Neurospora crassa OR74A: one gene and its partners. The protein of the gene in region 5 purifies or fractionates together with the protein of the main gene of each other region. This does not show direct contact. Links are inferred from orthologs where the notes say so. Each region holds a gene or a part of one and is shown on either strand. Other genes may lie near its edges.

The links. The genes of interacting proteins can lie anywhere in the genome.
Region 1: the proteins of NCU01164 (region 5) and NCU09118 purify together in Saccharomyces cerevisiae (affinity purification with mass spectrometry; 3 studies listed by BioGRID). This does not show direct contact. The link is inferred for Neurospora crassa OR74A from reciprocal best matches to the Saccharomyces cerevisiae genes SPT16 and TOP1.
Region 2: the proteins of NCU01164 (region 5) and NCU07870 purify together in Saccharomyces cerevisiae (affinity purification with western blotting; 4 studies listed by BioGRID, with this or other methods). This does not show direct contact. The link is inferred for Neurospora crassa OR74A from reciprocal best matches to the Saccharomyces cerevisiae genes SPT16 and POL1.
Region 3: the proteins of NCU01164 (region 5) and ckb-2 purify together in Saccharomyces cerevisiae (affinity purification with mass spectrometry; 9 studies listed by BioGRID). This does not show direct contact. The link is inferred for Neurospora crassa OR74A from reciprocal best matches to the Saccharomyces cerevisiae genes SPT16 and CKB2.
Region 4: the proteins of NCU01164 (region 5) and NCU06260 purify together in Saccharomyces cerevisiae (affinity purification with mass spectrometry; 3 studies listed by BioGRID). This does not show direct contact. The link is inferred for Neurospora crassa OR74A from reciprocal best matches to the Saccharomyces cerevisiae genes SPT16 and CEG1.

What each region holds. Positions count from the first base shown.
Region 1 is NC_026501.1:5,391,580-5,395,788, forward strand, and holds the start of NCU09118 (DNA topoisomerase I), read right to left. Parts: upstream 2,810-4,209; 5' UTR 2,077-2,809; coding exon 2,025-2,076; intron 1,833-2,024; coding exon 1,609-1,832; intron 1,549-1,608; coding exon 1-1,548.
Region 2 is NC_026503.1:1,182,413-1,186,549, reverse strand, and holds the start of NCU07870 (DNA polymerase alpha catalytic subunit), read left to right. Parts: upstream 1-1,328; 5' UTR 1,329-1,503; coding exon 1,504-1,792; intron 1,793-1,883; coding exon 1,884-4,137. Other genes in the region: NCU07871 (hypothetical protein), read right to left, coding at 1-720. UniProt on the Saccharomyces cerevisiae protein: Catalytic component of DNA polymerase alpha, which in complex with DNA primase (DNA polymerase alpha:primase) constitutes a replicative polymerase. POL1 has a role in promoting telomere replication during interaction with CDC13.
Region 3 is NC_026501.1:3,448,771-3,452,586, forward strand, and holds ckb-2 (casein kinase II subunit beta-2), read left to right. Parts: upstream 1-1,169; 5' UTR 1,170-1,543; coding exon 1,544-1,600; intron 1,601-1,683; coding exon 1,684-1,929; intron 1,930-2,011; coding exon 2,012-2,566; 3' UTR 2,567-3,307; downstream 3,308-3,816. Other genes in the region: NCU11228 (DUF1339 domain-containing protein), read left to right, coding at 1-492; NCU02755 (PAP2 domain-containing protein), read right to left, coding at 3,638-3,816. UniProt on the Saccharomyces cerevisiae protein: Regulatory subunit of casein kinase II/CK2.
Region 4 is NC_026503.1:2,102,135-2,106,159, forward strand, and holds NCU06260 (mRNA-capping enzyme subunit alpha), read left to right. Parts: upstream 1-1,481; 5' UTR 1,482-1,938; coding exon 1,939-2,117; exon of another isoform or gene 2,118-2,127; intron 2,128-2,180; coding exon 2,181-3,210; 3' UTR 3,211-3,516; downstream 3,517-4,025. Other genes in the region: NCU06259 (sorting nexin-41), read left to right, coding at 1-177, 237-332; NCU06261 (uracil phosphoribosyltransferase), read right to left, coding at 3,921-4,025. UniProt on the Saccharomyces cerevisiae protein: Second step of mRNA capping. Transfer of the GMP moiety of GTP to the 5'-diphosphate terminus of RNA via a covalent enzyme-GMP reaction intermediate.
Region 5 is NC_026505.1:3,095,791-3,099,949, forward strand, and holds the start of NCU01164 (transcription elongation complex subunit), read left to right. Parts: upstream 1-1,352; 5' UTR 1,353-1,915; coding exon 1,916-2,092; intron 2,093-2,191; coding exon 2,192-2,276; intron 2,277-2,332; coding exon 2,333-2,454; intron 2,455-2,525; coding exon 2,526-4,131; intron 4,132-4,159. Other genes in the region: NCU01163 (GAF domain nucleotide-binding protein), read right to left, coding at 63-167, 303-305. UniProt on the Saccharomyces cerevisiae protein: Component of the FACT complex, a general chromatin factor that acts to reorganize nucleosomes. The FACT complex is involved in multiple processes that require DNA as a template such as mRNA elongation, DNA replication and DNA repair.

The sequences.
Region 1 (4,209 bases), on a different chromosome or scaffold from region 5:
CTTGCCCAAGAAGTCGAAAATGACAGTGTTGGGTTCCCTGAGGGTGACGTGCTCGTACTTGAGAGAGCAGCAACCGACAGTCTCGGCCTCGTTCTCGGTATCCTTTTCGTTACCGGCTCTGAGAGCGAACTTGTCAATGAGGTACATGGCCGTTGCGCGTTGCCTGTCAGCCATGACCTCGCTCTTGAGGTCCTTGGTATAATCGGCACGGATGCGATCAATGTATTTCTTGAGCTCACGGGCCTTTTCGAACTTCTTGAAATCGGCCTTGCCCTTCACAGTACTGTTTGCTGCCAACATCACATACTTGTAGTGTCCGTTGATGTTCTCTTGCCACATCGCGAGCCAAGTTGCCTTGTTGTCATGTTGAACGGCCTTCCACTTGTGGCCAGCTGGCGGCTCTGGGACCTTGGCCTCTTTGCCGATGTTGATGGTAATTTGCTCTGGCAAAACACGCTTCTTGATACACCCGGTCTTGGGGTGATCACCGCGACCACGGAAAAGTCCTGGAATTTCCACTCTGGGGTTACCAACCTTTTCTTTTCGCCCATCCCACTTGCAATATAGATAGGGGGCGTCCCTCTTGTCCCTTTCGGCTTTCTCGGCCTTCTTCTCTGCTGACGACCGGGCATTCTTAGCCTTCGTTTGAGCATCTTTGTAAGCCCACAACTGGGAGAAGTCGAGTTTTTCGAATTCCTTGATGTCAACCTTTTTGCCATTCTTGTCCTTGGCGCCACCTGTCCGATCTAGGATCTCCTTGAAGTCCCTGAAGAAGTTCTTCTGGAAAGTTGGGTTCTCAACATTCACCGTCGAGTTAAGCATGAAGCCGAAAAAGGTCGCAGCTTCCTCGGCCTCGATATCGAGTTCGACCGGCGTTCCATCGTAGAGCAGTTTGACGTCCTTGGGCAAACGCTGGTAATCCTCGGGGAAGATGACGCCGTTGTGCTCCAAGGTGGTCCACTTGATACTGTCATCTTCCTTCTTTGCCGACTCCTCCCACCACTTATACTCCTCTTCCTCATCGTCCTCATCGGTGATGTCCTTCGATTCCTCCTTGACGGACTTCTTGACAGCGGCAACCTTGCCCTTCGGGGCGGCCTTCGTGGCAGCCTTTGCAGCCGGCTTTGCAGCAGGCTTTGCAGCAGGCTTCGCGGCAGGTGCCTTCTTCGCCCGCTTAGCGATGGGCACATCCGAGTCAGACTCTTCCTTCTTCACACCATTCGTCTTCTTCGCAGCTGTGCCGTTGACCTGTCGCTTGGTGGGTTTCGCAAGGGGTTCGTCATCGGAGGATTCATCCTTGACGGCCTTCTTAGCAGCAGGCTTCTTGGCCTTGGTACCAGCACGAATACTCTTGGCTTCCTTGGCGGCTTCCTTCTCGATATTGGCCTTCTTCGCGGCGATCTTTCCGAGAGGTTCGTCGTCATCAGAATCTACGTCCATATCCGTATTCTTGGCGGAGGGAGGCAATCTCGCGCCATTTTTTTTCGCAATCGGCTCGTCGTCGCTATCGGAGTCTGGTTGCTTATGTTGTGTTTTTGAACGTTTCGCCTGTCCTGGTCAGCCACAGACCAAGCAAGGATACCAAGCTGCAAAGACTGGGAAACTTACCAAGGGTGCTTCGTCATCACTGGAGTCATCCTTATAGTTGATGGACTGATCAATGGATGTCCGCGATTTGCGCTTAGCCTGACCGCTTACTGAGGAGTCGACGTCCATCCTGTCCTGGTCGACGGGGCCATTACGGATGGAGACACCAACGGGAGCCATGTGAACCTTGGAATCAGCAGCGTCCATGGCACGATCATCGGCCTTGGAGATGGTCGGCGCCGAGGCTATAGTTGAAGAGAAAAGATTAGTCTCATGGGCGTGGTACAATGACAGATTGCATTTAGACGAGGCCATGGAAGGCATGACACGTTGACTCAGATCGGCTGGCAAACAGTGTGACGGGGCAGAGGATAGAGTGAAATAAGCGAGGGCTGATGGATGAAAGTGTGTGACTGATCACAGAAGCATTGACGTACCGTGGCCGTTGACCTTGGCGAGCGGCTTGTCGTCTTCAGAGCCCGAAGACATGGTTGCTAAAGCGTGTTGCGGTGTCGGCACTAGTAGGTACGTACGAATGTGTAAGGGCGCAAAATCCGACCCGTAGAGGTAGCGGCCGCTAAACAGTGGCGAAGGGTTGCTAGCAAGATGTCTGCAGGGCAACCGAGTCGAAAATGTTGTCGTCGGTCGTCGCTAGGAAGGGAGACGTGGAGAGAAAGAAATTCGCCGCTGGAGGTGACCGCTTACACCTTTGACCGTGGACAGAGTCTTGGTGCAAGTCACTTGGTGACCAAGGCTGGAAAGCGAGGGTCTCGGGAACTCGTCAAGGTCTTGGGTGCGCGAAAAATCGAGATGGCCGGTCGAGGGAACGAGTGTGTGAAAAAAAAAAGAGAGAGGATGTGGAGAGCCTGGAGGGTGGAGAGAACCAGAATGGCGCAAGGTGAGGGAGAAGAAGTGAAGGGAAAAAAGCGAAGGCGGAGGGCAGCATGAACGAATTCGGGAAGAGCAAGGGCAGTCGGGAGGCTGTTAAAGATAAATCCTGGGGCTCCACCCTGCAACTCTTTCTGGGCGGTCGTTGCCAGGACCGCCAGGCTGTGGAAGTATCGATGGGTGCTGTGGGTGGGTGGGTGTGTGGGTGTGTGGTGAGTGAGAACTGAGTCTCCAGTCGGGACTCCAGCCAACGGAAGGGAAGGTTTCGATGCGTCGTCGCGGTCGCAGGGGGATGTTCGCCAGGTCCAGTCTGTACCGCAATTCTCCCTGGTTCGCCTGGGTCGGTGCACCTCACCTGCCCCAAAATCCCTGAGGTGGTCGACTTTGAGAGGCCGGTACCTTTTTAGCGCGTCCCCGCTCTCGGTACCTTGAGTCTGAGCGTTCAGTTTCTAGCGTAGCGTACGCCCGTCAGTGTCGTGAGTGCGGTACGTAGAATCTATGGAATGGAAGTTCTCTGTTGCGTGTGGCAAAGACGGGCGCTCCAACAACAGTACGCTAGGCACCACTGGGATCGTGAGCACCCAGCCTCACAATGATTGCTCCAGAAAGCTGAAGGCATACTGACACACCTTGTTCATTCAAACAGAAAAACACCGCGTCGTCTGATCTTCACCCTAGTGAAGCTTCCGTGTGCTTGCTTAATCTGTGGGTGACTTAGGTTCAAGTTATTTACCGTCAAGGACACTGAGACGTGGACGCTTTTGATACAACCGTTTGCAAGGCACTTCCTCGTTCAAGTGAGCACCAAATTCACAACCGGATCGATGCTAAGTAGTTATCTCAGCGCTCAGACCCACCTTGAGCTCCCGGGCGTGCACGGACCTGTAACGAATACCACAATCTCAGCATTTTATTGATAAATTGAATTTTCTTTCCAAACCGGGCAATATTTTGGCCCTCCGCTCAAGGAGGTCTGAGTACACAACTCGATTAGAATCGCGTAGAGGTTGACCAACCCCCCAGAATATCAACCTCAACACTATAACTTCACAACAACACGTCGCATCACGAGGGTTTCTAGTTAATTCGGATCGCAAAAATCACAGCTTTCCAACGGTATCAATTTCATTATCATTACCATAGAGGAAGACTCCCAACACAAGGATGCGCAATCCATTCGCAATCTTCCAGCCCACATACAACATCGTCGTAATCGCTCTTAAGTATAACCATATTACTAACGTACTTCTTTAGCAACTAAACTATTAGGAATTAAAGAATTATTTGCTCTCTCTTCTACTCCATCTAATATTTAAGTCCCGGATTATATATAAGTAGAGCAAGACGTCGATAATAGAGTAAACTACAATAATACACTTATAGAGGATAATAATTATAATATTATTAAAGAGATATTCGACCTTTAGGCTCGCCTCCAATTAAGGTATAGTAAATGCGTAATAAAAGTAGCGATAAAAGGATAAGTTATTAAACTAAAGTCGTTTAATATTAAGGTATTTATAGTAGAGTAGTTTAAAGTTAGGCGTAGAAGTATAGATTTTATTAGTTTTTTCGACGAAAATAACAATATAAAGGAAGCTTTTAATAATAGTAGTCTTATTATTTAGTATACCGTTAATATACCCGATGGTCTAAATTACCCTACTTTTATACTATATAAAGAGATATAGGCCCTATTTACTGAGTTATTCTTCGGATAGTTTGAGGTTGAAA
Region 2 (4,137 bases), on a different chromosome or scaffold from region 5:
CGTGAACATGCTGTCCAAATCGCCGGCGCGGGCACATGTCTCGAGGACAGCGTTAAGATGAATTGTGGTTGGCTTCACGCGCTCATTCCTGAGCAAGCTGTGGTAGATCTTGACGGCTTCTGCAACTGCCTGCTTGGGGTGCTCGCTCATGGCGCAGCCTCGGAAGATGATGGTGTAAGTCCTGGCATCTGGAACCTGGGCGCGCTTCTTCATCTCGTTGTAGATCTTGATGGCGGCAGACAGACGCTTGTTCTTCATGTGGTAGTCGATCAGATGGTTCCACGAGACTTGGACCTTTGCGTTCTTGCTGGCCTTGCGGGTGAGAACAAGGGCCTCTTCATATTTTCCTTTGTCAAGGGTCAACTTGACCTGCTTCTCGATGTGGAAGGGATCCTTGAAGTGCTTTAGTTGTAAAGCCGCACTGCGCTCCAGCTTCTTCCGCTGCTCGTCGCTCAGGTCCCTCTTCTTCCTCTTCCCTTCCGACCCGTCTCCATCTTCTTCCCCTTCCGGCGCTTCGAGATCGAGGGTAACGGAGGGATCGGCGGCAGTCTTTGGCTTGAGGGCGGGCAAGTGGTAGGATCGTATGGTGGTCGTGGACTGGCTTGGTGTAAGTGCGCCTAACCTTGGAAGGGCCAGACGAGATCCAACTGCAGGCGCATTTATCCTAGCCAAAGCTCCAGGAGCCAGGCCTTTCCGCAGACAAGCCCGGCACACAAACATGGTTTGCGGACAACCGAGTTTGCCCTTGATTGTTTTGAATCTTTTTCTTCTGCGAGGTACGGGCCGAGGTACCTGTGTTGCTAATGGTCGGTTGGTGGGGTATCTGGATCGTCGAGTTTCCTGTGACGATTTCCTGTTGTTCTAGACAACTTTGAGAATTGGGCGATGTGGTATCAAAGCTATGGCCCGGGAAGAAATCGATATTTGGTATTTTGCTGCGGCGGGCGCACAACTGCCCTGGACTCTGGACGGAGGATGATGCTGAGATGGAGACCGTGAATGATGGCCAAAAGTTAGGATGACATTCCGAAATTTTGGAGACTGATCTACAAAAATGCCTGCCGCGGCCTTTTGCACTTGTGGAGACGCGGTGGGTCGGGGGTCGGCATCAGGTACACTGACAGGGGCCCCGTTGCTGAAAGGTACGTACACTATGTACGTGGGCCACTACGTTGCTTTCCTTAGGTATCCGCTTAGGCCAAAGCAGCAGAACTGCCCCACCTCTTAAACACGACCGTGACGGGGACAAGGGTTCGCGCTTACAGTTTACAGTAAAGTACGCGACGAGTAACGAAACTAAACGCGACTTTCTTTTTGTTACTGGAGGGGACCAATTGAACCCTGTAATCCCACTATATTTCTCTTACGACTCTTGTCACCAACACTACCACATCACGGTGGCCCCGTCGACATTCTCTCCAGAGTGTTGGCCTGGTGCTCCTCTGTTGTCTCGTCACCATCCAATCTCCAATCCTAAAGGCAACATCACAACGGCCTGTCAAAATGTCCAGACGAGTAGCCAAGCGAGACAAGTACGCTGAGCTGCGCGAACTGCGCCAGTCCGGCAAGAAGAAGACCTACGACGTCGGCGAGATCGACGAGCTCTACGAAGAAGTCGACGAGAACCAGTACAAGAAAATCGTCAGAGACCGCTTGAACGAGGACGATTTCGTGGTTGACGACAATGGCGAGGGTTATGCCGACGACGGCCGCGAAGAATGGGACCGTCTCCCCCAGTACCACAGCGACAGCGAGGAGGAATTAGGCCTACCCGGCAGCAAGCCGCGCAAGTGTGAGCAGATCGAGACGCTGAAACCCGACGATGGGAGCAACTTATAAAGCACTCTGGTTCTGGTACTGACCTTCGTTCTCCTCCCTCTTAGCCAAGAAACAAAAGGAACATGAAGATGCGAAACGAGATGCCAACGACAGAGACATCACCGAATACTTCACGAAAGGCGCCGTCAAAGCCCCACCAAAACAAAAGGTCATCAAAACAGAAGAAGATGAAAAGTTCTTGGACGACCTCATCGACCAGGTCACCGCACAAATCCCCGTCCCGGTCACACGAGTATCCAAGAAGCGAGATCGATCAGTCGAGAGGAGAAAGGTCCGGGTGCTCTCCCCGGTACGGGAACCTCGGCCACCCATGGCAAAGAGAGCCAAGACAGTCGATGATCGGGCATCATCCCCAGCAGGAGACGACGACCTTCTACCAGACGACGACTACCTGCCTGCTATGGACGACGAACCTGCACCAGTCTCCGATTATCTTATGAGCGACGCCATCATGCCCTCCTCACCGGCCGCCAAAGTAGCAACACGGAGGACGTTTGGCAGGCCGGAACCCAAAAAGAATGAGGATGATGAGGACGAAGATGAGGACATGATGGAGGTTGCCCATACTGGAGCGGTAACAGCCGCCAGCGTCAACATATCAGCATCCCGTCAAATCAAAAAGATTCTCAAGACAGAGCCCGTCCCGGCCAGTTCGTCACCCGCAAGGGCACCAGCGCCAGAGGTCGACGCTGCTTCCTGGAACGAGATCAATCAGAAGCTCAATGTCGTATCCATGTCACAAAGCGAGGGCAGGAGCGTTGGCAAGATTGACTACAAGGACGCTATCGAAGAAGACGGCAGCTTGAACATGTTCTGGACAGACTACACAGAGGTCAACGGCAGTTTGTGCTTGTTTGGCAAGGTCCTAAACAAAAAGACCAAAACCTACGTCAGCTGCTTTGTCAAGGTTGACAACATTCTCCGGAAGCTTTTCTTCCTGCCGCGCAAGTACCGTGTGCGAGGTGGCGAGGAAACAACAGAAGAGGTGGAAATGATGGACGTCTACAACGAGGTTGATGAAATCATGACCAAGATGAATGTCGGCATGCACAAGATCAAGGCTTGCACCCGCAAGTACGCATTCGAGCTTCCCGACGTTCCCAAGGAGAGCCAGTATTTGAAGCTCCTCTACCCATATACCAAGCCTGCGATGGAACCCACCCACAAAGGCGAAACCTTCTCCCACGTCTTTGGTACCAATACCGCTCTGTTCGAGCAGTTTGTGCTCTGGAAGAACATCATGGGCCCCTGCTGGCTCAAGATCGAGGATGCAGACTTCACTTCCTTGAGGAATGCTTCGCACTGCAAGCTGGAGGTCCTGGTAGAACATCCCAACATGGTGTCGGTCCCGGATAACGCCGAGAGTATTGAGCCTCCTCCTTTGACGTTGTTAAGCCTGGCTATGCGCACAGCGTTCAACCCTAAGGATAATAAGCAGGAGATTCTCGCGGTTAGCGGGAGAGTCTACCTTGATGTGTCGCTCAGTGACACCACTCCCCCAGACAAGCTTGCTTCTCGTAGTTTCACCGCTGTTAGACCTTACGGTAGCGCATTTCCTATCGGCTTCGAGACGCTTGCCAAGGAAAGAAACAGAGGTGTGCTCAAGCTCTTCAAGCAGGAACACGAGATCTTGAATTTCTTGCTCGCACAGATCGATGTTGTCGATCCAGACGTTATCCTTGGCCACCAGCTAGAAGGTGTTGACTACAGCATCTTGCTGAACCGGCTGCACGAGAAAAAGACACATCAATGGTCTCGTTTGGGCAGACTCAGGCGCTCTCAGTGGCCCTCGTCCATTGTTAAGATGGGTGGCAATGTATTTGCCGAACGTCAGATAATGTCTGGCCGTCTGCTATGCGATCTTGCTAACGATGCCGGTAAATCAGTAATGACCAAGTGCCAGACCTGGTCCTTGACCGAGATGTGCAGTCTGTATCTGGGAGGCGAAAGTCGTAGGAGGGATATCGACAACGAAGTCGCCCTGAAGACGTGGGCTAACGCTGACAAACATGGTTTGATGGACTACATCTCCCACGCCGAGACTGACACTTACTTCATCGCGGCTCTTGCACTCAGGACTCAAATTCTTCCTCTTACCAAGGTTCTCACCAACCTGGCTGGTAACTCGTGGGCAAGAACACTTACCGGTACGCGTGCTGAGCGGAACGAGTACATTTTGCTTCACGAATTCCACCGCAACAAATATGTCGTCCCGGACAAGCAGACCTTCAAGGGTCGGCAACGCATCGAGGAGGAAAACGCAGAAGAGGAAGGCGGAGAAGGAGGAAAGAAGAAGGA
Region 3 (3,816 bases), on a different chromosome or scaffold from region 5:
TGGCGTACTCTGTTCGCCTATCTCCCTCCACCTCAGGAGCTGTTTGAGGAGAGCTTGCAGCGTGGGAGCCTCAAGACTGCTGGCGGCTACTTACTCATCCTCCATACCTTTGACGAACTCGCAACAGCAAGCGAGCAGAGTGTGCGTCTCTTAAGCAGAGCAATGCGCGAGGGCGACTGGGAGCTATGCAAAGAGCTGGCGCGGTTTTTAGCAGCGCTCGATGAAACGGGGGACACGCTGCGTGAAGCAATGGAGCTGGCCAAGATGCGAGTGAAGCAGGAAAGTGAGCTGGAGGATGGCCATGGCAGCGTAGGCAGCGGGCTGGGCACAATGCTTGGAGTTCCTCAGGGTGGTGGTGCTAACGGTGCTTCCAGCACTACCAGCTCATTGATTTCCAATACCAAGGGGATCATAGGTAGTGACTGGGATGCTGACAGGCGCACAATCAGCGACGCCGGCAGCGTTGTCAGTGCTAATCGGTACGAAGGTTAATGAAGTGGATGGAAATTGGAAAGCGGATAGTTGGTTGTAGGATTGTTGGATATCCATAGCCGTGGCGCTCACGATCCTACCAGAACGTCACTTTATGATGAAGCGGGGGTCTTGAGCTCTAGACACATGCTGTAGGGCAACACAGATGTTATAGAAGCCGGGATGTTTCAAGATAATCTAGAACAGCTATAATCACAGGCGACTGGCGTTCTTATCCCCCATTTTTATTTATTTATATATATTTTTTTTGGGTTTTCCGTCTCCAACAATATACCTGCTCAAAAATAAGGCACAAACTGTAGCACTGAACGTCATGACGCCCAATAGAATACCTACCTTAATGACAGAGTACATGCTTCCATCCCCAGTACCTGTGAACGTACAATTAAAGTCATACGCTGGGCCGTTGGGCTGACTGAAGGCCGACGAAAGGTACCCGCCCGCTACCTACCTACCTACCTAGGTAGGTACTTAGGTAGTCAGATGGTCGATTTTGCAGACCTGATAACCTACCTCTGTGTAGTGCCCTGGGTAGGTCGGGACTGCTGATAAACAGACTGCGATGAGCCAGGGGCGGGGGGGCACTGCAACCTGCCCTGCGGGGACCACTGCAACGGCGATGAACCCCCCACCAAAAAAAAAAGTCCCTTGTCATGGACTGTCAGCCTGTTTGGCTCCCGGTCTAGAGTCCAGACCCCCTCGCCTGCCCTGCCGTTGCCCTGCACCAGGGACGGCTTTGAACCCTCTTCCACCTGAACTCCCATCAAACCGTCGCAAAAAAGCATCACAATCCTCTCCAACGTCTTGTCGTCATTGTGCCTTGTGCCAGCTCAATCTCATCCGACTCGGACCTCCCACTCCCCATCTACGGCCCGGCGCGCATTAGTTCGGCCCAACAAAAGGTTCAAACGCCGTACTTGACCCCGGCACCCGGGATTTTGGCCTCGTTGATGCGAAGCGCCAGCCGACGGTCGTTCGCGCCCACTTTCCTCCCACCACCACCTTCCTCCCTTCCTTTTATGCGCCGAGTATAGACGTGGTGTCGCCGGCCATGGATGACTTTGTGAGCGAGTCTGAGAGCGACTATGCCAGCTATTGGCGCGACTGGGTATGCTTCTCTTGCAATTGTTGTTATTGTTTACTACAGTAAAGGTTCCCCAATCATGCTGACATTTGCGCGTCCGCCTGCAGTTTATTTCCTCGCGAGGCAATGAGTACTTTTGCGAAATTGACGAGGACTACATCACTGATAGGTTCAATCTAACTGGTCTCAACACTGAGGTCCAGTACTACCAATATGCTCTCGATCTCATCACCGATGTCTTCGACCTCGACTGCGATGACGACATGCGGGAAACAATAGAGAAGTCTGCTAGGCACCTGTACGGTCTTGTCCATGCTCGATACATTGTCACAACGCGGGGTCTTCAAAAAATGGTCAGTAATCAACTCTCAGCATTCCATCTTCATCCAGCGTCTCCTCGTCTTCATCCGTGACTAACGCACTTCCCACCAACAGTTCGAAAAGTACAAAAAAGCCGACTTTGGCAAGTGCCCGCGCGTCATGTGTTCCTCGCACCCTCTGCTGCCCATGGGTCTCTCGGACGTGCCCAACTCCAAGCCGGTGAAGCTGTACTGCGCGCGTTGCGAGGATATTTACAACCCCAAGTCGTCGCGCCACGCCGCCATTGACGGCGCCTACTTCGGCACCTCGTTCCACAACATCTTCTTTCAGGTATACCCGACCCTGGTGCCCGCCAAGAGCGTCGAGCGCTACATTCCGCGCTGCTACGGCTTCAAGGTGCACGCCGCTGCCGCTCTGGTGCGCTGGCAGAACAGCCAGCGGGACGAGATGCGTAGGCGGCTGAGGAAGCTCGAGGTCGAGAGCGGGTTCAAGGACGCCGAGGACGAGGCTGAGCTTGACGATGATGACGAGGAGGAGGAGGAGGAAGAGGAGGAAGAGGAGGAGCTGGCTGCTATGGATGAGGCTGAAGGTGCCCAACAGCAACATGCGGCGGCGGCGGCAGGTACAGCAACGGGAGGCGTTGCTGCCGGCGGTGAAGGCGTTCATTAGAAAGGGCCTGCTGCTACTGGTGGAGAAGCGGATGAAGAGTATTGGAATTCAGAAGCCACGATTGGAGCCGCCGACGAAGCTGACGATGAAGCTGAGCTACCAAACGAGCCAAACGAGCCGAACCATTGGTTGACACCTCTCATGTCTGCTGCTGCAAGGCTGCGACGGAGTCTCAGGCTAGGGGAGGACTATGAAGAGCAGGCTGAAGTGGAGTTCGATGAGTGGATGGAACAGGCGAGGTACGGGATCTTTTGACTTTTGAGGTGGTGGAATGCATATACCATACAGTATCGAGTAACAAAGTATGAGTACAGGTGCCTCTCTTCTCTTTGTTTTTTTGTTTCTATTCCCGCACCCCATAAGCCTCTACACAGCGGACGTCGGGATCGATGCGAATAAGGGAGAGAGAGCCATTGATAGAGTGTTTATGTTCTTTGGTCTAGCTATACGTCTTTTCGGTTCTTACCAGACGATTTCTTCTCACCTTGCCGGCTTTGCTTCTCTTCGTCTGTGCTGAACTGCACCCTTCTCTGTTTCAAGCCTCCTAAAAACCAATCGTCAAATCGACGGGAAGTTGAACTTAACGCTTGAAAGGCAGTCTCTTGGAGCGTGAAAATTCAAAACGACCAGACCATATATCCAAGCGTCTACTGAGGAAAGATTCACAAGCGGTGTCATGCGGCAACACGAACCTTTCAAATACATGAACTGTTACCACAGCATAAACACGTTGATTAATGCCGAAGACCAGTGTGCTCAAACTTCCCTTGAAGAGTTACCAGGTAGATATGTGTACATATGGATAGGTTCCTCATTTCCCTATCTCAAAACGCCTCCTGAACATAAGAGAGACTGTACCAAAACCCATGTTGGTGACATAAAACCATTTGTTGTTCCTCATATTTCCTCGTTTAGAGAAATAATCGCTTTTGTCATCAAGCCCACCCATCCGGGCCAAGTCCCTACTTCCGGAAAATGCACCTTGACTCTTCTGATCCGACAATGCGTCGAAATTTGCCTTTCATATCTGATCGTCATTTACCCGTCTCTGTAAGCTGTGTCAACCTGTTCTCATTGATCAACGTCAAGCGACGGTGGTTTCCTCCCCGTGATGATCCCACCGGGCTGGTCCGGTCCCACATTGCTTTCCAAACCGGTGCCATTGGCCCGTACCACGGGGTGCCCATAGCTGCTGCCGTGATCTAAAGAATCCGGACTCAGCGCCTCCTCCTCGTCTCCCGCGCGATAAT
Region 4 (4,025 bases), on a different chromosome or scaffold from region 5:
GACGTTGATCCTGAGCGGACCCGGCGTGACACTATTGGAAAGACTAGGGAATCCATCGTGCAACTGGAGCAAGCACAGATTGCATCGGCCAAGGATGTCAAGGACGCGAGCGCGAGCGTCCTCAAGGATCTAAAGAGGTTTCAACGTGAGAAGGAGGATGACCTCAAGCGGTACATGGTAAGACCACGACAATTTACAGTATACCGATCACGACCAATTGCTAACTTGGGTCTTAGCTCGCGTATGCCAAGAGCCAGATTGAGTGGGCAAAGAAGAACCAGGAGACTTGGGAGGAAGCGAAGGCCGAGGTCAACAAGATCAACGAGTCTTAGTCGAACAGAGTGGTCCGTTCTCCGAGTGGGTTGGTTCATATCAAACGTCATGAGGGATGATTTATCATGTGGAGAGTGTACCAACAACTTTCCGGGCGTTGAGGAGATGTCAAAAGGGTTGTTTTTTGTCTTGATGACGAATATCAATTTAGACGAGAATAAAACATAATGAGAGTCCATGCATTACGACTGATGGAGCAGGACTACCTATTTTCTGATATTTGTCCCTTCATTTTGTGCAACCCAGGCGGGCATGTTGGACGAGAGGTTGGACGGGTTGCAATGGGCCAGACAGCAGGCAACTACGTAACATGCAACAACGAACCTTGAATGGGCAGGTTCCACACTTCTTTCAAGGAATCTCGGGGGAGATCTGGAGGTGTAGTGTGGTGGAACGTACCTTGCATAGGCCAGATAGTTCACTTTTTGGACAAAAGCATGATCGGCATTGGACTGGTGGTTGCTGCCCCTGAGCCTTTGTCCACTACAACTGCATACGGTGGACCTCAAAGGTGAGTGTAAAGACATGGGAGACTTGGAATCTGATAATACCGTGTAGACTCGGGGCATCCGTTTTCAAGTTCCGTGGAAATCAGGCATGATCTGTGAGCATACTGTACTGCAACATCCATGGCCGCCAGAAATTGTATGCAAGACGTTAGTTGACTTCGAATATCCACCATCCAGCGCCTTTCCAAAAAATAGATGAAAAAAGGCAGAGTATAAGAAGAGTTGAGGTTACAGTTCTCCGGGGTAGCAACAAAACTCCATTTTTAATACTAGTTTTGCGGGCATAATATATACAAATCAGGCATATGCATGTCCGATTATGCCTGATTTCTAGAGAACCTGAAAACAGATACCCCGAGGTTGGGGCGATACAGTAGACGTACCATGTGAATGACGGAGGTGGTTTCCATCCAGGTCGCCTCCTTCACTTGGTCGCGTTCCAGAGGGCATGTAGCGCATATGGATGGTAGGCCTTGCTTCGCAGTATTTAATCAGTAAGTACCTACCTGTAGGTACAGTCCCGGTGAGAATGGAACTGAGACCCACTTGTTTGTGTCACGTGCATTGGCTACTCTTAGCCTATTTAAGCTAGCTTGTCTCTCCAGATCCCTCTTCTCTTCTACTCTTCAGCCTACTTTTGACCAATGAGAAATCATCACTTTTTAGAACCGTTATTTATACAGTAGTACGGGTACACCCACGAACCTCGAGTGGCATCCAGAAAACGGGCTACACCCTGTTGGCATGGCACTTATAGCGTGTCGTCCAGACGGTCCAGGGGATGCGATAAGATAAGCGTCACGCCCAAGAGTTCATGACGACCCGTTCTTGTCGACGAGACTTAGCAATTCGTGGCCTCCAACACCAACTTTGACCTCAACAACTTTTTACAGTCCATTGTTCACCACCCAGCATTTTTTTCGATTCCTCTTCTCGCGGCACAGCCTGAAAGAACCAGTATTGAATCGAACCTACGACATATCACAGCTATTGGATCTAGCCAGCTCTACTCCAGACAGCTGTCGCAAATCACCACCACCGTCTACGTCGTGTCCCGTCGCTCGTCCACGATCCGCTCTCGCTTGCCGCCCTCACAATGGAACAACCAGGGCCCATTACCGACATTGCCAAGCCTGGCATCAAAGCGCCCCGCGATTTGGCCATTTCGCTGCGAGAAGAAGTTGCTCGGATTCTAGGGAGGAGTTCCATTGGCTTTCCCGGAGCACAACCCGTCAGCTTTGCTCGCAAGCACCTGGAGGAACTACGAAGAGAGGAGTAAGCCAAGGCTCGTCTGTTACGGTTGCGCATGTCATGACTTCTGGCTAACCATCCGTAAAGCTACTATGTCTGCGAAAAATCCGACGGCATTCGCTACCTCCTCTACCTGACCGTCGACGAAGAAGGGCAGGAAGTCCAATACCTGATCGACCGCAAAAACGACTACTGGTTCCTCCCTCGCAACAGCATGCACTTCCCCATGCCAAACGACATTCAAGCCTTTCATCGCGGCACCATCATCGACGGCGAGCTGGTGATGGACACAGTGCCCGGCACAAACGGTCGAAAAGAACCGCGCTTCCTCGTCTTCGACCTACTCGCGCTCGACGACAAAGCCGAACTTTTGAACAAACCTCTCGACAAGCGCCTCGGCTACTTCAGCGCCTACATATACGAACCCTACAAAAAGCTGCTTCAACAGTTCCCACAGGAAATTCCCTTCATGGCCTTCAAGGTGGAGATGAAGCGCATGGAGCTGTCGTACGGCATCGAGACCATGTTCCGCGAAGTAATACCTGCCTTGAAACACGACAGCGACGGTCTCATCTTTACGTGCCGCACCACCCCTTACCACTTCGGCACCGACCCGCACATTCTCAAGTGGAAAGCGCCGCACGAGAACACGTTGGATTTCCGCATGCGCCTCAATTTCCCCCTTGTACAAGCCACCGAGGCCGAACTTGACGAAGGGTTTCCCGAACAATTTACAGATTACGACTCGGTCCCACAAGCGGAACTGTACGTTTTCTGCGGCAACGACGGACCGGGCGGAAGCAAATACGAACTCTTTCCGGACCCACTTTATATCGCGGAGGACGAGTGGGAGACGCTCAAGGCGCTGGGCGACCCGTTGCAGGATCGCGTGGTGGAGTGCTGTCTGGATGCCGAAAACCGGTGGCGGCTGTTCAGGTTTCGTGACGATAAGAATGAGGCGAACCATACGAGTACCGTCTCCAGCGTCATGGCGAGTATAAGGGATGGCGTGTCGGATCAGGAACTTCTGAGCGCGGCGACGGCGATAAAGGAGAGCTGGAAGATACGCGCGCAGAAGAGGAAGGAGCAGCAGCAGCAGCAGCAGCCGAAGCACTGATTGTGTGCCCAGCGCTGGCGGAGCAGGCCCGTGAGGTTTGAGCGGTGTTCTTTAGGGGCTATTTGGAGGGCCGGTGACTTTCCTCTTCCCTTCTTGTTTCCTTGTTCTATTTCATCGGTGTTTAGTGGTCTGACTTGGAAACAGGTGCTGATATCTGCACCGACTATACCTGGGCGTTTGGGGAATGGTGGGCTTTTGTTTTGGGCGGTAGCTCTTAATGCATATCTTTTTTTTGCCCTTTCCAGTTGTGAAATGGCATAGAGGGTGATTAGTATTACCCGTGCTGGGACCCCGCAGAGTTCTCTCTCTCTGTGCAGAATTGCGAGTGAGACTTGTCGATTCAAGTGATGTGTATCATTTATTTTGTCTTGGCTATGGGTAAGTTTGTTTCGAGTTGCCCTGATGACTACCCAAAACCATCCAACAGAACAATATTGAACTACCTTGTTGCTTTTAACTAGGTGAAAGACGCTGGGAGAACCTATCGGTCATTGTGCCATCGAATGACATGTCCTTTACATCGAGTTCATCTTACAAAGACCAAATCACTTCCTCAATCAAGTGCGAATGAAAGTAACTCAAAGAGAATTGTAAACTGTGTAAGCAACAGGACATAACGACACACCAGCACATGCATATAACGGTGTTCAATTGTATATCCAAATACTAAATAAATCTAACTCCCATTTCCTCTCCCCTCCCCTCATCATTTACTTGCCAATTGTCAAAAACAAGCGATCCCCCACATCTCCCAATCCCGGCTTCAACATACCCCCCTTTGTAAGTTCCTGGTCCACACCGGCCAGCCAGATCTC
Region 5 (4,159 bases):
CCTTTTTAGACATTGTCCCTTCCTGATGTGGTGGTGCAAGCAGGCTTGGTTCCTCATCTTACCCAGTTCCTCTGCTCATAGAACAGACCTTCAGCTTGGTCAAGAACCTGCTGGTAGGCCTCTTCCTTGGTGACGTTGGCAGCAAAGTTGGAAGCGTCGGCGTGAACCTATAAGACGAATACCGTGTTAGTCTCAACCGTCCTCAAGTTTGGAGAAGCCTGTAGTTCGTAGGTAGGTATGCGCGATGAGGTCTTCAACTGTCTCGAAACAAAGGATTGGACTGATTGAAACTGTTCACGAACCATTTTGACGTATTATTATGACCCTGTTCTTTCTATGTACAAATCTTGAAAATCGACCTAGAGTGGTGGTGTTGGACACCGAGGAAGCGAACTTCAACTTTTGAAATTTGTCATTCACTTCTGAATCCGGGGAAGTGGGGCCAAATGGCACTGCTCCGGTCGGGTCCGTGCGGAACTGCCGCCGTACCGGCAGCCGATGGGCCGGCCCCGAGTGGCCTCCGGTGGATTCACGGTTTCGATCCCAAAGAGGACCGGACTGAATCACCAGCCGGATAAAGGAATCCAAGATAATTGTGCGGATACTTACTAGATGGTGTGGGAGGCTCGTCCTCGCTTCATACTGGGCAGGATACAGCTCAAGGGCCCTTCTCGGAAGTTGTGCTGATGGCAGCTTGTCTTCTATTAGTGATCTGGACCTTATGATGTGCTGTCTAAGTTACCCGAACCAAGGTCCAGAAGATGCCCAAATGGTTGTCGAGACGGCAGCGGGAACTACTTATTTTTGCAGTACAGCAGCTCGCTTTGCAGTGAACGTCAAATCACGGACAAGTGATTGGTTCGATGGGCACAGTTCGTCGTCTTCCACCATTCAGTAAAGTTTCCCGTCGGGCAGATGTTAGCCAATTTTTCCATCTCATGGCGGTATCTTCCAGAATGCCGATCTATCAAGTATAGATGTGAAACATCACAGGTTTTCCGAGCGGCATCTTGGACATTGCTCTTTGCACTTGTACGCGGTGTCTGGGCCCGTCGAGTCTATTCTTGAAGATAGTGTTGCTGTCGTTTCGCACAGTGATTGCCATCACTCGTTCATTTATTCATTCAGGTTGACATGGGTATCAGCTCTAGGTTGATCGCTGCTGAGGACGTTCTTTGCGTCGAAGTAAAGAAAGGTGAGTTCTGGTTAGTACGTCTACTAGTATTTAAATGGAAGAAGTTCGGCACCCCAGAGCTTCCATCGCTTGCCAAGACTTAGTTTAATCGTACCTGTGCATTGGAAACTTAGCTCCACCCCTCCCGTCCCTCTGTTTCCATTCCACGCCCTGTCCCGCCTGTCCCTCTTTCATCTCCATGCACTCGCTGCAGGGCACCTAAAGAAAGAGGTACAAGTTCGACTTACAAAGTTAACAGAATCGCAAGTTGTTGGAAGTCCCGACGACACCATTTACGCTCGTCTATTTCCATCATTCATCAATATACTTCTCTACGATTCCCATACTACAGACCTTTCAGGAATATCACCATTGCCGTGGCAACCAGCATATATAGTTGCCTCAGGCACAGAACAGAACCTCTTAGGCATCCTAACGCGAAGGCAGTGGACAGGGGCGCCAAGAGCTGTGGCCCGTGACGTGAGCGACGCGCGACACGGGAATTTTTGTGTCTTTGGCCTGGAACCGGATCCCGGCTGGCAAGCACTGTAAAGTACTAGCAGTGCCGGCTGGAGAGGTGTGGTAGCCTTGTTTCTGTCATCTTGAAGGGTGTCTGCCGCCACCGTCAGTACCAGAGCAAGCAGCCCCTCGCCAAAAGCACGACTTCACCCAAACCCAAACCTCTGCTGATTTGATTGTTTCTGCCATCTTCAATCGCGCGCCGCTGTGCCGTCGCTCATCATGGCAGACATCAAAATCGACAGCAAGGTCTTCCAGGAGCGCGTCTCGCACTTCTACAATGCCTGGAAGGCCGACAAGCGCTCCGGAGACGCTCTCTTCGGTGGCGTCTCTTCCATCGTCATCCTGATGGGCAAGGTCGACGAGAACCCCGAGTTTCACAAGAACAACGCTATCCATGTGAGTTTTGCCCTCTGGAGAGCCCGCTCGGCGTGCGCTGGCTGTACGTCTGGCGGGCCATTCCAGTCAAATGACAGCTGCTGATAGCTCTACGTAAAGTTCTGGCTGCTAGGTTACGAGTTCCCGACGACCCTCATGCTGTTTACCCTCGACACCATCTACATTCTCACCACCCAAAAGAAAGGTTCGCCCGGTATTCCCGACCCAAGAACGCGGACAAACTATCTGACACGTTAATAGCCAAGTACCTCGACCAAGTGAAGGGCGGCAGATACCCCGTTGAGGTCCTCGTGCGGGGGAAGGACGCCGCCGAGAACGAGAAGCTTTTCATCAAAATTACGGATGCCATCAAGGCTGCGGGCGTAAGTTACATCCCATCCTGGGCGCACATCAACATCTCGGTGCGGTTCTAACACATTTTCGCTCGTTATAGAAGAAGGTTGGCGTCCTTACCAAGGACACCTCCAAGGGCCCCTTTATCGACGAATGGAAGAAGGTCTATGCCGATAACTGCAAGGATGTGGAGGAGGTTGACGTTGCCCAGGCTCTGTCTGCTGGCGCCTTCTCCGTCAAGGATGAGACCGAGCTTCGTGCCATGCGGACCTCGTCCAAGGCTTGCGTCGCCCTCCTGACCCCTTACTTCCTCGACGAAATGTCCAATATCCTCGACCAAGATAAGAAGATCAAGCACAGCGCACTAGCCGATAAGGTCTTCAACAAACTGGAAGACGATAAGTTTTGGAAGACCGTCGAGCTGCCCAACCGACAGAAGCTCCCGGCTGACCTCGATCCCGAGCAGCTGGACTGGATTCTGGGACCGATCGTCCAAAGTGGTGGCAAATTTGACCTGAAGTGGCAGGCTGATTCTGACAATGATATACTCCACCCGGGAATTATCATCGCGGCTATGGGTCTCAGATACAAGTCCTATTGCTCCCAAATCGCCAGAACTTTCATGGTCGATCCCAACAAGTCCCAAGAAAGCAACTACAAGTTCCTACTTGCTGTCCACAACCTCATTCTCAAGGAGATCCGGGATGGTGCCATTGTCAAGGATGTTTACACCAAGGCCTACAACTTTGTGCGGTCCAAAAAGCCCGATCTTGAGAAGCACTTTCTTAAGAACGTCGGCTTTGGAATCGGCCTGGAGAACAAGGACCCGACCTTGATTCTCAACAACAAGAACACCCGTACCCTTAAGGATGGCATGACACTGGTTGTGACCACCGGCTTCAGTGATATCCAGAACCCCAACCCCCAAGACAAGAACAGCAAGGTCTATTCCTTGATCCTTTCCGATACGATCCGTGTCACTAGCTCCGAGCCGGTGGTGTTTACTGGCGAGGCGCCTGTCGATGTTGATGCCACCTCGTTCTTCTTCAAAGATGAGGAAGAAGCACAGCCCACACCGAAAAAGGAGAAGCGGGACTCTAGGGTGGGTGCCGTTGCAACCAAGAACATCACTAGCACTCGTCTACGCTCTGAGCGTAATACAACGGTAGATGAGGACGCGGACAAGAGACGTCGCGAGCATCAGAAGGAACTCGCGCAGAAGAAACAGAAGGAAGGCTTGGCCAAATACGCCGAATCTACCGCTGATGAGAATGGCGTCGAAATCAAAAAGTTCAAGCGCTTCGAATCTTACAAGCGGGATAATCAATTCCCGCCCAAGGTTAAGGATATGGGCATCGTTATTGATCAAAAGAACGCGACCATAGTACTGCCTGTTATGGGCAGGCCGGTACCCTTCCATATCAACACCATCAAGAACGCAAGCAAGAGTGACGAGGGCGAGTGGTCATTCTTGAGAATCAACTTCCTATCTCCTGGCCAGGGTGTGGGTCGGAAGGATGAGCAGCCCTTCGAAGATGCATCTGCGCACTTCGTCAGGAGCTTGACTTTCAAATCAACCGATGGCGATAGGTATGCTGACATTGCAAACCAAATCTCGAACCTCAAACGAGACGCTGTCAAGAAGGAGCAGGAGAAGAAGGATATGGAGGACGTAGTTGAGCAGGACAAGCTCGTTGAAATCAGAAGTAAGTCGCTTTCCCGGATCAATTGTAT